2 linked regions of the Bombyx mori genome follow. The protein of the gene in region 1 purifies or fractionates together with the protein of each later gene. This does not show direct contact. Links are inferred from orthologs where the notes say so. Each region holds a gene or a part of one and is shown on either strand. Other genes may lie near its edges.

Region 1 (2,911 bases):
ACGATGTTGATCTGTAAAAATAAAATACTCAATAAAGGCATTTGATCTGATATTGTTCTAGTTAGTTTGAAGTTTCAAAAATGTTAGATCCTCAATATAGAATGAACATTCACAAAATTAAATTTTAAATGAGAACTATTTTTGGGTAATCAGTTTCTTTTCTGATTATACTTACTCGAGTGTTTTTCCCCAGTGTTAGTAGAAGCGAATGTATACATTTTGTTCTGTAACAATTTACAATTGATTAAGTATTTAGGAATACTTGTATCCTACATTTAAAAGAGTGCTGTTATTCAGTAATGTGGTGTTTTATAATCATATTTTGTTCATACGAACGAGACTATATTTAATAGATCATCACAGTAATCGTTTACAGAATTAATAAAAACTAATGATTAAAGTTATTACTCACTTGTAATACTGGACTGCCACTATTAACTGAAACAAAAAGAAAATTTAGTAAAAATAAAATACCACTGCTGCATTATGGTAACAAAACTCACCTACTACTGCATGGTTAGGACAGTACACAAGGATGTAACAATAACACAATAAATGAAGCTAAAAAGTAATTCTTTATTCTCTTCTTAAAATCTGTCTTAGTCACATAACCTGTCGCAGACACAAAAACAATTACTTCTTAGCTGGTTTTTTGGTCGCCTTCTTGGTGCGCACTTTTTTCGCAGCCGCTTTAGGGATATTTTTCTTGCCGAAGGTACCAGCACGCGCAGCCTTCACCTTCAAGCTCTTGAATACGGCAGTCCTGGCACGGTTCCTCTTAACTCGTGCAGCTGTTAACTTGAACCTATCGTAATCTGTCATTTGTGCGCGCTTCTCTTTGTTCGCTAACTTCTGGGCCCATTGACTTTCTGTCCATTTTTCATTGAGTTTAGCATCTGTCCACGCTTTCCTCACAAGACGAGTAGGGGCTGTGAACGCGTATTTGAGGCGGAATTTTGTGAGATGGAGTTGGTTTAAGCGGATCTGTTGCCTAGGTACTCCACTGCCGGGTCCATCAACCAGTGCACGAGTTTGGTCAATAACGTCTACCACGCTCACTAACTTTCCCTTTAAGGGACCGTCGGCTACCAGGGCGACACGCCCTGGTTCTACGTACCGTGCAAAAGGCATGACGTTCTGAAACAATTACATAAATTGTTACTTACATTACTAATTCTAACTTGTGCACTCAAACACTATCAACAAAAAATCACGTAAACATTTTGTGTACTTTTCGGTGGATTGTAGAAATATATTATACATTCAAAAGCTACCCAATATTTCTTTCTTTATTTAGTATTTAATTATCGAATTGAGTTTTATACAAGCATGATTTAAACAGATTATAATAATTTCTAACCTTACAACGTCTTAACACAAACAATGTACTCTCAAAAAGAATTTCCGGTGAGTTGTGTCTTGATGTGTCAAATTGACAGTAATAGTAGTTTTATTTTCCAACTGAAAAGGCAAAAGCATCATACCGTACCGCCTAATCTTTTATGTATAATATGAAACATGGCATGAAATCTACGAATAAGATTTATTATTTATTCGTAGCATGAAATAAAATGAGATCAGATGAGATGATTTGGGATGAAATATAATCTCAGTAAAATAGTGGTCATAAAATGAGACTTCTTCAGTTGACGTTTTGGAGGATCCCGAGAAGTTATGTCCAGCGGCTTTGTTTCATTTTCCCATATTTGTGCACTTTCACAGATAATAAGCAATTAATAAACCACCGTTATTATGCATTTAAACCTGAAGAAACTCTAAACAGATAAAATAAAACAAATCACACAACTTCACTCTTCGCGTTCCCGCCAAAAAGTCTGCCAAATTGCATTACTGACGTTTTTTCTGAAGGGTATGGAAATGCTCAGACGCGAGAAAAACACTTTTTATTAATATTATTTATTACTGCCGGCCACTCACATGCGGGCAATATTCATACATTGTACAAATGTTTGCGCGCATGTGAAGGGCCGTCAAACATTCATTCGCAAACTTAGCAGCTGTGCAAATGGGTTCGCATACTCAATTTGCGAACCCGTTTGCGCTTCCTTAAACACTTGTTTACGAATGTCTCACGAATTTCTCCTCCTTTTTAATTCGTCAATAGAATATTGAAGAGAAAAAGAGTTTTGAATTCTTTCCCAGACATCATTAACAGCCATGCTGTTTTATGGGATTCCTTTTGATGAAGATACGCTACACAGTAGACGTCACGAACTATGAAAATGGCGATACGTCCGTTACTTCGCAATCGTCGGCGCAACTGGGCAAGCGAATGTGTGGGAGACTACGCGAAGGTTCGAGGTTCGCGCGCTTTGATGTCTGTTAAAAAACCGACACAGCTTGGAAAACCACGAATGCAGCGAAAACTTTGCATAATCATTTGCAAATGTCGTCCTACACTTACGGGTTTGCGTATTCGTGCGCATGTGAGTGACCGTGTTATACAAGGTGAATGAAGTTAGCCCCTCAAAAAATTTTTTTTTCCTATTTTATACTTATTCTCTATTAATTCGTTTGTTCATCATTTGTTCATGATTGTTCACTGTTAATAATTGTTTGTTCTGCATTTATTTATTTAAAAAAATATTTAAAAATATACCTACAAGTTAGCCCCTCTAATGCAATTTTTTATATTTTTTCATCCTTAATGACTCGTAAATATTCATTTTCGATTGTTCTTATATAAAACACGTTTGTTCTCTTTCGAAATTACTCGTTTTTTGTTTAATTTACTATTTTTATTAGTTGAATAAATGTATGCAAAATATGTGTACTGCGCATGCGTCAACTATAATGCCTAAACTTTCTACGCGGTTTTAATCGTGAAAAAAAAAACAAATATAAATCCTGAAGGAGCAATTAATTGGTATACAGTTTAATTAAAAAAATT
Region 2 (4,260 bases), on another chromosome or scaffold:
TCTATTAAAAAGCCCCTTTTTTGTAGTTTTTCAAGACGTTCATTCAAGTCATAATGTTGACTCCCTATTTAAAGATATAAACCACGCAACCACCTTACAAACTAATTAACCCTAACGTTAAGAGGATCATACATTGAGCAGGTTCACTCGGTAGACCAACAGCTCAAAGTTATTGAGTTTCTTGTACATCATGATTTTCAAATTATTTTTTTTGTTTGGACATTAAAAAATCCTGCCAGTGTTTGCCATAACTATTGCTTTGTCTGAATGACTACTAATTTGTTGAGAGGTCTACCATTTCAAAAAGTCCCAAATTGAAGCTCAATTGGAAAAATAATCCACAAAGTGCAGTAAGAACATGAGAACAATCAATCATTCCATATATAAAAACATCATCTAATATTTTTATAAATCTATAAAAGTAACTTATATACTCACTTTGTAAAGTTTAGTCAAAGAGACCGAAGCCCATGTCATCGTCAGATTCAGAGTCTTCTTTCTTCTCCTCTTTCTTGTCCTCTGTAATTCAAAGTCGAAGGATTAGACAGAGAATTCAAAATTGGTATAATTTACTTCTGTTTTCAAAACATCAGATAATAAGAATGCAGCACTGTTTGATCAGTCGAAAGATGGTGTTGATTTGAAAATCATCACATTGAATTTTCTATTGCTAATAAAATTAATAGCGTTGGGACTTTATTTAATCTTTTAGTTACATAGATTACTTATTACATAACTATAGGCCAAGTTAAAAAAAAGGATTTTAATTACATTTGAAGCTAAATAAAATAGCTTAAAATTACTCATAGGTGTCATAGACCTGTAGTGTGGTCTAGAGACCACATTTGGTTATCAACATTGTCAGTCACAAATTATATTCCAGCGATTTTAATCAGAATATGCAACTGATTCTCCACCAAAATGAGTGAAATAGTACCTAATTACAGAAATTATCTACACAGTTTCAGTATTGAAATAGTCCTGTCATTAACGACGTTACATTTTTTATCTTGATTTTGAAATTACCTTTCTTCTCCTCAGCAGCAGCAGCAGCTGGGGCAGCTGCAGCAGCCGCTGCAGGTGCTCCGCCTCCTACTGGCATTGACGACAGCTTCTCACGTCCTAAGCACATAAACAACATCAGATATGCACAACAATCAACCTCTTTAGAGTTATAAAAAAGGAATATCAGAATAGTAGATAGCATCAAAGTCATTCAGACGAAAGATGGTGTTATTATTATTATTTCATCATTATAATCAATATAATCATATTACAACCACAATTAAGTTACAATTACAAGGTACTAGGTCACTAGTACTGAATCAGAAAGATCGTGGATTAGATGTAATTAATGGGAGTACATGATTTAGAAAATTCAGTGCTTATCATTGTCGTTTCTTTTGATATTGTTTTGTGTAGTTTTAATTTTCAGTTCTTTTAATAGATAGGTGGCAATAGCCCTACCTGGTAACTACCGGAACTAATGGATAGATATGAAATTATTACACCCACCTGTTGAAATCAGGGTGCTATTGTGTAGATTTTCATAAATCATTGATTGAATTAAGAAAACTCTTAGTTCCGCAGACTATTTTCTGTTTCTAACTTTAATGGCTAAAATATTCAAGGTAGGTAGAGTGCTTTTAATAACTATTAAACTTTAAGTAACCAAAATGTGAGGTCATTTGAATGCTTCTAATAAAATTAAAAATTACAATACAGGAATAAAATCCGTACCAAAATTAAATGTGAATGTGTGCTTGTTTGTCCTTATTTGAAATCGAAACGAAAGCATCAGATTAACTGGATTGTTTTTGACAGTATTGGGTCAGGAGTAAAATATGTTCTTTTTTTATCCCAAATAAACATATTATTCCCACGAGTAGCTACACTTACACTTTTTTTACTGTGACAACGCGGGCTAAGGTGCAAGTAACAACTATTACAGTTAGTATTCCGGTGGTACATTCTGCGAAGCACTGCTCTTGCTAGGGTCAGTGTTAGCGACACTCCGGTTTGAGCCCCGTGAGCTCACTTACACATGTTAGGGCGAAGCTGAAAAGGCCTCTCAAGGCTAACAGCATAGGTTTAAAAAAAAAGTAGTAAATTATATATTTGACTTACCGGCCGCAATAAGTTGTTCAACATCCTTGCCGTTGAGCTCAGTGATTACTTTCTTAAGCTTCTCAGCGTCAGCTTCGATACCGACGGAGCTGAGGATCTTCTCAACGTCAGCGGCAGCTGGCGTGGTCTTGCCACCCAGCACAGCCAGTAAATACGCGGCCACGTAACGCATTCTACAACACAATAGATTTTTAAACATATTATTGCTTAGAAAATAAGATTTGTAGTTGTATTTTTGTTGTACATCGTTAGAGCCTAAGAAGTTAATGGGTAGTTTGTCGTCTTTGACTATGTACGCTATTACTAATAAATAAATTAACTTATGGTGCAAAACTATGTTTATCTTCGTTTGATGGATTGGAGTATGCACGATAACCGTAAGTTAGTTTTACCTTTACATTCATACACAACATAACCTCAACAAAACTAAACAGCAAAGCCCGCGTTTTCAATCGTTTTAAATCACTATCAAGATCAAAGAATTCATACGATAATCAGGAAACGCACACCGCTCATATTAATTTCGTTAAAATAAAAACAGTATTTTGCTATTCAAACTTACTTTTAAGTCCTAATTGACACGAAACGTGTAATGCCGAAAGAATAACGTTCGTCTTGAACAAACGTCAACAAGTAAGAAAGAACGATCCACAAGGTTTCATTTGACAGTTACGTTGTCTATGACAGCGTAGCGATTTGGACCTGATTTTCAAAACAATCGATTCTTAAATCGATCTTTACAACAAAAAAACAGTGATTTTATTTGAAACTGTTTAAAATTGAGATTAGAATGGAGTAATACTTTTTCAAATAAAACGCAACTCTAAACAATTTACAATTATGTTGGAATCGAACATGTAGTTGTATATATGAATATAATACGAAGGAAACTGCTGGATTCGTATTAGTCGTGTAGCCATTATTAAGTTTTTATTAAGGATGAGAAATAATTCTTTTTCTAACTCTCTGAAGGCGTTCAACTAATTTTAAAATTATTTCATAATTCAATAAGAAACCAAAAAGCTTTTTTGTTTGTTAAATTGTTATGTGTTACGTTGACTGAAATTTAAATATTTGCGCCCTGATAAATTAACTCTTGTGTGATGTGAGTTATTGACTCGTGTGTAAGTAATTTAATGTTTTCCTGGTAAATAAAAGCTCAAACTGTTCGAATAAATTCTTCACCCGTCTCAAGCATAATTTTAATGTGAATCGGTTCAAATCGATTTAAAGATCAATCGTTTTTGGAAAGAATCAGCATTCCTAGTTCGTCAGCTGTCATTTCTCAAAACATATTTTTTTTATTCTTTTACCCATGTACAAGCAAAGGGCACATATTGCATACATCCAATCCAGTCAACATTTATTTTATCTGACAGTCATACGAAACCAGATCTGTTTACAGATGTTGAATACTCACTATTATTACAAATTTAAATGAGAACAAATTCAAAAAAGTACTATATCTTTTGTGTTCATTTTTAAAGCACTGATTTCTTTAATATTACTGGCCATACCAATTTTAGTAAAATCGACACTCAACGGCTCTAATAGAATATTATGTTATTGCAAAATGTAACGTTTTACAAATAGTTTCCCAGTTTACCAAAAGGTGCCACTATATGAAAATATTTTGTTAGGCCAGGGTTAGGCCTTTGATAATGCTAAAAAGTGAAAATGATTGTAGTAGGATGAAACTCATTATAAAAAGACGAGAATATAACAAAAATTAAAGGAAAAATAATTTACGGGTGATCTGAGGTCGAGAAGGGGGGGGGGGTGAGTTTTAAGGGTAAAAACGGTTTATCTCGATTTCCGGAAAAAACTACAATTCCTATGGAACAAAATTAAATGACAAAGTTGCAAATAATAAAAAGACCTACAACTTTTGTGATTACACTTTTTCATATAACCTCAAAATTTATGTGAAAAATTCAAGAAATCGTATTAATAGGTTGGGAAAAAAGACTTTTCGCATTGTAGTATGTATGAACTTGTAATAAAATCTCTTTGGCTATATTAATTGTATCTGGCTGGTTTTGCTATCATTAAAAGATTAAATATAAAGAGGATAATTACAAAATCAAATTAGGAAAATGTGTGATTTATATTTATTTTTCGTACTGTCAAGAT

Evidence for each region. Proteins that work in one complex are often made in the same cells at the same time.
Region 2: the proteins of RpL14 (region 1) and RpLP2 fractionate together in Homo sapiens (co-fractionation; 3 studies listed by BioGRID and IntAct, with this or other methods). This does not show direct contact. The link is inferred for Bombyx mori from reciprocal best matches to the Homo sapiens genes RPL14 and RPLP2.

Annotation. Positions count from the first base shown.
Region 1 is NC_085117.1:13,508,965-13,511,875, reverse strand, and holds RpL14 (ribosomal protein L14), read right to left. Parts: upstream 1,400-2,911; 5' UTR 1,361-1,399; intron 1,351-1,360; exon of another isoform or gene 1,167-1,350; intron 1,138-1,166; 5' UTR 1,132-1,137; coding exon 634-1,131; 3' UTR 557-633; downstream 1-556.
Region 2 is NC_085122.1:11,211,465-11,215,724, reverse strand, and holds RpLP2 (ribosomal protein P2), read right to left. Parts: upstream 2,850-4,260; 5' UTR 2,690-2,849; intron 2,301-2,689; 5' UTR 2,300-2,300; coding exon 2,128-2,299; intron 1,123-2,127; coding exon 1,001-1,122; intron 576-1,000; coding exon 570-575; 3' UTR 520-569; coding exon of another isoform or gene 449-519; 3' UTR 439-448; downstream 1-438. UniProt on the Homo sapiens protein: Plays an important role in the elongation step of protein synthesis.